Oryza sativa Japonica Group: one gene and its partner. The protein of the gene in region 2 interacts with the protein of the main gene of each other region in a pairwise test. Links are inferred from orthologs where the notes say so. Each region holds a gene or a part of one and is shown on either strand. Other genes may lie near its edges.

The links.
Region 1: the proteins of fructose-bisphosphate aldolase-lysine N-methyltransferase, chloroplastic (region 2) and homeobox-leucine zipper protein HOX19 interact in binary tests that used the Arabidopsis thaliana proteins (3 or more experiments, as listed by UniProt). The link is inferred for Oryza sativa Japonica Group from reciprocal best matches to the Arabidopsis thaliana genes LSMT-L and HAT22.

What each region holds. Positions count from the first base shown.
Region 1 is NC_089037.1:6,978,758-6,982,811, reverse strand, and holds homeobox-leucine zipper protein HOX19, read right to left. Parts: upstream 2,801-4,054; 5' UTR 2,435-2,800; coding exon 1,973-2,434; intron 1,775-1,972; coding exon 1,695-1,774; intron 1,384-1,694; coding exon 1,038-1,383; 3' UTR 388-1,037; downstream 1-387.
Region 2 is NC_089043.1:18,985,102-18,989,253, forward strand, and holds fructose-bisphosphate aldolase-lysine N-methyltransferase, chloroplastic, read right to left. Parts: upstream 2,814-4,152; 5' UTR 2,691-2,813; coding exon 2,185-2,690; intron 2,039-2,184; coding exon 2,010-2,038; intron 1,892-2,009; coding exon 1,680-1,891; intron 1,427-1,679; coding exon 1,304-1,426; intron 1,204-1,303; coding exon 799-1,203; intron 707-798; coding exon 494-706; 3' UTR 391-493; downstream 1-390. Other genes in the region: uncharacterized protein, read right to left, coding at 4,032-4,074. UniProt on the Arabidopsis thaliana protein: Protein-lysine methyltransferase methylating chloroplastic fructose 1,6-bisphosphate aldolases. Can also use with low efficiency gamma-tocopherol methyltransferase as substrate, but not a cytosolic aldolase.

The DNA of each region.
Region 1 (4,054 bases), on a different chromosome or scaffold from region 2:
GGGCAACTAGCTTCGACGCTGACTATACCTAAGTGCAGTAATTACTCAACGAACTAGCTACTACTATAGTATGATCGCACGGAAACCGTCAGTGTCCAACAGTACGTGCAACCGGCCGATCATGTATGTGCTACGTACCCGCAGCAAGAGTCGATCGCGAGTGGTGGTGTGGCCGTACGTGTTAAAATTGCCTTGGGTTAATTAATATGGCGTGCAGCAGAGCAGAGATCCAGATGGCTAGCTACCGCTCTCAAGTCCTAATTAAGCAAACAAAAAGATGAGACGAGAGGGCGAAGTCCCGCTCTCTCTTCCTGATTAACCAATAATCAGCAGAGAGGCGAAAGCGATGGCAACTCAATAAATTTTTGAAGTTGGGGAGCCCCGACACACACAATCATTGAGACGTATATCCATACAAAAGTAAACACATGTACACGCACCCGACAGGGCCGAGCGAACAGGAGGGAGGCAGGCATGCTAGCTAAGCTAGCTCATGTCGTCATCCGATCCAACACTGTGCGTGTGTGACACTATCTAAGAATTTTAATCCATCAGTAGTGCTAGTATACAAGCTTAATCTATCTAGCTACTGCACTGCCCCATGATGATCCCCTCTGAAAATTAACTAGCCTGTGAAACAAAAAAGAAAAGTAAAGCTAACTAGTGATGAGAGGGGGGCACACAGTTACATACTTACATGCATGCACAAAAATATACATTGATCGGGTACTAGCTGTGGCCCGGCTATAATTAATTTGACTAATCCTATCATTAAGCCTATGATTGATTTGACTGAGATGGACTGTCTAGCTAATGGAAGCTGGAATCCCCCAGGGCAAGAAACAGTAGCTCAAGGAGAGGATGATGATGCATGATGATCATGTCGCCAATCGCCATGTATGTCACGTGTATATGTTACCTGTGACGTGAGGTAGTACTAAGCTTTAGCTAGCAGTCAGCAGCAGTGCTATGTCTGTTTGGTGTTGCAGATCGATCGATCGATCGAACTGCAGATTCATGAGGATGGATGGATCGGATCAGCAGGCGGCGGAGTGGGTGAAGGGGTTGAAGAAGTGGTGGGTGGTGGTCCGGCCGGGGCCGGCCTTGGTCCCGTCGGCGGCGACGACCTTGGCGGCGGACGCGGGCCCGCCGACGCGCTCGCAGGACGGGCAGATGGTGAGCGTGGCGGCCGGGAGTTGCATGTAGAACGGCGCCGGTGGCGCCGGCGACGGCTGGTGGGCCGCCGAGGACGGCGGCGGCGGGGCGAACTTGAGCGCGCGGAGCTCCTGCAGCTCGCGCTGCAGCCGACGGTTCTCCTCGGTGAGCGTCTCGCAGCAGCGCTTCAGGAACTCGCAGTCCACCTCCGTCTGCTTCAGCTTTGTCCTGCATGGAGTAGTAGTATACGCGTGTAAACGAACCGATCGATAAATGGTTATCAACCACAGCCACAAACTGCACTGCACTCTCAAAATATTTCTAGTTTTCTACACACGGAGATAATCATAATCCTTGTCTCATGCATGCATGATTGAATTACGTAAAGGAAAAGCGACGCTGAAGGTTCTTGCTGAGATAAAAGTAGTAGGATATGTATATATACGTGATGCAAATATGTGCCCACTGGCGCGTGTACATGTTGCAAAATACTGGTCTCGAAGAGGAAAGAAAAGTCGCGAAAAATGAAAAATACTAACCTTGCTCTTCTGTTTTGGAACCAGACCTCCACCTGCCTTGGCCTGAGGTTCAGTTGCTTCGCTAAAGCGACTTTCTGCTTCTGCTCGAAGAAACAAAACAAAAGCGGTGGTTCAGTGACCCATATATATTCGATCAAAAAAGATGAACAAAACACAAATTAATATGCGCCATGTTTTTATCTTAATTTGCTCCTTGTGTTCTACTACAAGTGCAGCTTTCTGCAGCTAGGCTAAGCGGCGGCAAGTCAATAGAACGTAAGGAGAACGCGCGGACGTACGTGACGTACCGGGTTGAGCGTGCTGTGCTCCCGGAAGCGGTCCTCCAGGAGCGCGGACTGCTCCTTGGTCAGCCGGAGCTTCTTGCGGGTGCTCCCGTCGTCGTCGTCGTCACGCCCGGCCGCCGTCGACGACACCCTCTCGCCGTCGGCCTCCTCCGCGCGCTCCCTCTTCACGGCCGCCGCCGCCGCCGCGCCGACGGACAGCGACGACACGCTGTGCGCAGGGCCGCCCCCGCCGGACGCGGTCGCGGTCGCGGTCGCGGCCGCGCCGGCCGCCGCGTCGTCGGGCAAGCTCAGGGTCAGCGACGGCTCCAGCGGCGGGCACTGCGACGACGGCGACGGCCGCCGGCAGCCGCCACGGTGCGCCGCCGCCGCGTCGGTCGTCCCTCCTCCTCCCCCGCCGAGGGACAGGCCCAGCGCCAGGCCGGCGTCGCTCAGGTGACCGACGTCCTCCTGAGCCATGTTGACGACGGATAATCCACCAGCAGCAGCTGCTCCTGTCGCCGCCACTTCGATTCGCTTCTCGTGCGTGCCAGGGCTCGCCGTCTCTCTCTCGTCTCTCGCGCGCGAGGTGCAAGCAAGCGAGCGTGCGTATCGGTAGGGGAGAGGAGGAGACGAGAGGCGAGGCCGGCGGAAAGGAGAAGGAAGGAATGAGAGCTCAGCTCAGCTCGGGGGAATGAATTGGTTGGGGAGTTGAGAATATTTGAGGAGGGCGCCGCGGGGAGACAAGCGGAGACACGAACACCCACCCGCCCACATCACACGGGCGCAGCTCGCACACGCGGACGCACTCCAAAGGTTTGACGAGCCAAGCCAATTCTGCTAGCCTTTTTCCTTTATTTTCATTCTTTCTTCTGAAAATTACTACTACTGCATAAAAAAGTTTGGGTTTTTTATTTTTCGGTTTGGATGATTGGATTGAGCGCGTTTGGAAGGCCACGTGGGCGCCCATGTGTAAAAAGGGCCCGGAAATATTAGAAGCGTCCATGTCATTCTCAAACCCACTGTGTATGCACCAGTACTAGTTTGCCCATTTTTCTTCTTAACTCGTGCCGGCCCAATTGCAAACATGCATCCATAATTTGCATAGTATTTCAAAAGGCGACGCATGCGAAATTAATCAACCGATCGGGAAATGAAAGAGCAATCTATATATGGCGAAATGGATGGCTACGGTGGTGTTCTTTTCTTCTGAAGATGAAAGATTAAATTTTTTTACGTAAAATGAGATGGTATTAACGTATGATTGATTGAGTTTTAATTATTACAAACTTAAAAAATAGATTAATATTATATTTTAGAGCAACTTTCATATAGAAAGTTTTCACAGTTGAAAAGCGCGGCACGAAAATCTTAATCTTTATCTAACTCTTATCGGAGAAAAGAAAGAGACCTAGGTTGCTTATACTATTCGTGTGACTTGCTAATGGCGGGGCACGTATACCTGCGTTCTAGAGCAGTTAGGTATGTCGTAGCTGTGTTTGTATGAGCGCACGCGTTAGTTAAGGTTCACTATAAAAAACGGTTTTTAAACAGGCGGCTAAAATCGATTAATCGACTGAGAGGCACGGTTCGGACGACCTCTTCTAATAAAAGGTCCATAAAAATCATCATTTTTACGGAGGATTTTTTTAAGACAGCGGTATGTGAAAATTGATCTTCACATATGACTAGGTTAAGACCAACTAGTCAACGATTTTTGGTGTAAAAAACCGAAAACAAATCCAATCACAGCCTACAATCAGATTTAGTACACATCAAATTCACATTCAACATACACAGTCAGTTTTAAAAAAAACATTGACAAAATTCACACAAACTCCCCAAATCCAAGAAACAAAAATCATTGACACGCCATATCGGTCCCTCCTGAGACCGTGGATGTAACCGGTATCGGATCCACTGCTGAATTTGAAGCATTGGACTTGGGGCTCTCCATAGCGTCTGATTGAGCAAACAAGCATGACGGTGCAAGGGGAGTGGTCAACGACGGTGGCGACATGTCTATGGCTATATTTGCAAGAGCTGGATCCAACTCCCTAGTCTAGTTTTCCGCGCGTACGTTTCTTCAAACTGCTAAAC
Region 2 (4,152 bases):
GTGAATCCGATCGAACAAAGAGAAGCGCCCACAAATACCTTGATACAGTTTGGAGTTTGGACTCTGCCACAAATGTGTAACAAAGTGGCCAAAATGTGAAATGTGCCTCGTCAATTTGAACCGATTTAAGCGCAATTTATAGGCTTTTTTAATTAAAAAAAAGTTCGGTTGACGTGTTTGAAATGCAATAACACTACAAGTACTAGTGCAAATGTGCAATGATGTCCAATTTTTGTTTGTATGAAGGAAAATATTGATTTCAGGAATTGAAGTGATATGACTACTGGTAGAGTGGAAGTCATAATTTTGAATGTTGGCGATAATTCCAACTTTGTGGAGTACTCCGTAAACATCTACTACTATTGCACTGGTTACGGCACAAGGTGCATGTGCTAGAATATCATTTTTTTTCTCTTTTTCTTTCATTAATTTGCTATTGCACAGTGGCATTTTACAAAACCTTCTCTACCCTCAGAAAATGAATAAAAAGTCTCTAGGATTCCCAGAAGATAATTTCACCATTGTCGCCAACTAAACCAATATCCTTGAGTCTCCGTTCTTGGTAGTACTCTAGGCCATCCAGTTCCTCCTCCCTCTGCTTGAAAATGTCATCAATCTGCTGTAGCACTTTCTTCTCACCGGCCCTGACTTCAACGGCAATTTGAAGCCTTGGCTGAAGATTTTCACTTCCCAACAGTTCTTCGTCCTACATATATTTTGACATGTTTCGTAATACTAATTTGGAGATAATAACATAAAAAAGAAAATGAACAATGCTTATTCGGGTTATAAACATACCTCTTCTATGGTAGTGTGGTAAGCACCAAGGGCAGATTTGCAGGCATTTCGGATGACCTGACATATCGCTTCTTCATTATCTTGACTCACTGGCAGTTCAAGGTGGCCCCAAACAGCATTTCTGAAGAGTGCTTCCAAGAGAAATGCATCTGTTCCCCCAAGGCAGAGTAATCGCAGGTAAGGTAGCATTTGAGGAGGAAGAGATTCACCAAGGACAATATCAAAGTATGCAGTCTCCCCCATCCCATTTAGCTCTGCAATGTCAAGCTTGTCATCATAAAATGGATCAGATTCAGATATCTCCAAGGTCAGAGTATATGCATCCCTTGATGAATTTGATTCGGTGAAACCATAATCAAGCGCTAATTCTGCGTTGCTCTTGTCCAAATCATACTGAATATATATCTGTCAAAACATTATTTAGTATATAAATGTTGTCAGTGAACAAAAGTCACAGCTGCACAACTATATGATTTCCTTAAAATGAATAAATGGGAACTTGTACCTGTTCTCCAGATTTAACATTCACCGGTGTTCGCAAAGAAAACACAACATCCCTACCAAAAAGACCCTTTCCTTTGATCTCCCAACTGGACTCTTTTGAGGTTATATCATCGCTGTGATTTACCTGGTTTGGCAAAGCACCAAAATGATTAGAACATAATGGTTTCCCAATATTTTGGTTGGATTTGTATTATATATCGAGGGAAAAGTATTGAAAGAGCATATTATAGTGTATAATAAAAATATTCTGAACGTTTTGGCATGACAAATTACAGGCATGGTTTCCAGTGGTATCTATTTTGCAAAGATAAGTCGGTTCACAGCATGTTGGAAAAGCAAATAGAAAATGCAGGCATGATTGCATTTCAAGATCTTACAAGATCAGCAAATGGTATGAGAGCAAGCTTATCTCCACGGAGCTCCGCAAACACCCGTGATCTGAGTATGCCGAATGCCCATAGGAAATCATTGAATGTTACAGTACCAGGAAAGAGCTCCCTGTTCTCGCTTATGATCTCAGCTTCAACACTCTCAAATTCACTCTGCACATACTCCTTCACACCCATTGTTGTGCTCAGTAACTGTGTTCCTGCAAGGAACAAAAGCATACAGATTTCAACAAAGATACTAGCAACCAGTATGAACAAAACGAGCTCGCTTTGTAATTTAAATTCATGGATTTTGAACTTTTTGCAATGGACGCCCACCTTGTATCTCCAAGAGCTCTTCTTCTGACCTGCACTGGAGGCACGAAGCAAACCACTCAAAAGCATCAGCACGGAGAGGAATGTGAGGTTAATCGTGATGAACCACCCAAAACAAAAAGGAGCATTTCGTCGAACACATGAAGAGCGATGAGCGATCAGCATCACCTCAACTCACCAGAAGATGGTGGAGTCGGTCTGGCGCGGGAGGATGGCGAGGTAGGGCGCCCACGGCGAGCCGGCGCCGCGGGCGGCCTCGCGGAGGAGAAGCAGCGCGACGGCGACCCAGGGCCTGAGCCCCCCGCGGCCGACGGCGCCGCCGAGGTCGGAGGCCGCGACGGCGTCGGCGTCCAGCCAGAGCTTCTTGGGCACCTCGGCGAGCACCTCCCCGCGGGGCAGGTCCCGCGCCGCGACGAGGCCGAGGCCACCCTCGGGGACGGCGGCGGGCGCCGCCGCGCCGGCCCCCGCGTCCGCGCCGTGGGACGACACCCAGCGCCTGAACTCCTGCAGCGCGGCGTCCGTGGGCGGCGGCGCGGCCGCGGTCGACGACGACGTCCCGGCCGCTGCGCCGGACGCGGCCGCGCGGCGGGGGAGCGGGCGCCGGAGGCGGAGGCGGGGAGGCTGCGGGTGGACGGAGAGGAGGCGAGGAGGGAGGAGGTGGTGGTGGTGGATGGCAGCAGCCATGGCGCGCAGCCAGAAGGCGGACGAGAGCGGGGTTGCGGATTAGAGGAGACGACGACCGTTGGTTCCGCGCGCTCTTGGGGGACTATGGATATGAACAGTCGCTCACAGCTGCTCCGTCAAGACCGTCAAGGCCCTTTTATTAGTTTTAGGCTTAGCTTATTTGTTTAGAATTTTAAGTTACTAGTTTATTGGTTTGTATATGATTTATAAACCGATGAATTTAATGTTTTAAGGTTAGTGATGAAGTTATACATCTATCTCACATAAGAAAAAAAACTTCTCCAACCAAGTTTTTGGGTTAACAGTGTTAGAGTGGCTTATGATTTTAAAAAGACATTACTTGTTTGTTTAGTCTTAAACTTTTCGGTTTATAAATTGGCTTATAAGCCTAAATAAAGAGGGTCTAAATTCTGCTTATCGGTGTCGTTAGCTCAAAGCAAGCTACGTACCAGATTTCATTGAATAAAACAGAAGTAAAAAGTTTGTATAGTCGTGAAAGAAAATATCCAAAAAAGTAAAACTGAGGATGAGCTCCGACAGACGTTTCACTCCAACTGAGTTTCACCTTCCTCCTTGATTTTCACCACCCACGCCATTTCCGTTGTGGAGAAGTTTACACAGTAGTATTATGGTTCAATTCAGGCTGAGATCAAGTACTTCCTCCGATTCATATCATAATACTTTCTAGCATTATCCACATTCATATAGATGTTAATGAATCAAGATATATATGTGTATAGATTCATTAACATCTATATGAATATGGACAAATGCTAGAAAGTCTTGATTCATTAACATATATATGAATATAGACAATGCTAGAAAGTCTTATAATATGAAACGGAGAGTAGAACTTATGCTTTCTAAACACTGAGTTGACTGAATATAAGTGTCATCGTCTAAAAGCTCTTGACATTCGGGAGATTCCCAGGACAGCAAGCCAGCAACAGGAAACCACATCTACAAATGCTATGTTACTCGGGATAAATTGCTTATATGGCGCACAAGGTTTACGCATTTTCTAATTTTCAGGCAAGACCCGCCTTGTCGTAAGAGGAGGAACCATCCAATTAGAGACATAACAATAGCTAACAAGATGCCAATTAGATAAGAGACACAGACAAATGCTAAATCTCAGCATATCCCAAATAGATGTCATGCTTGACACCACAGGTTACTTACAGAAAGCACAGTTTTTCAAGACTCTTTCAGAGAGCATTAGAAAGGCTAAACATAGAATATGGATGCCCGTCATTCAGTGCTTATTAAGTTGACAGAGACACGAGGCATCTGCATCTTGTATAGACTGAGGTGCTTCTGTTCCAACCTGAAGCAGACTGATCAGTTCTTCCTTCCTTCACAGAGGATGAAGTGGTACCCATGCCTGAATGTAAACAAACAATGATCATGTTAACTGGTTAATGATGAGGCAGGCGATTAATAATCTAAAGGTGATAACAGT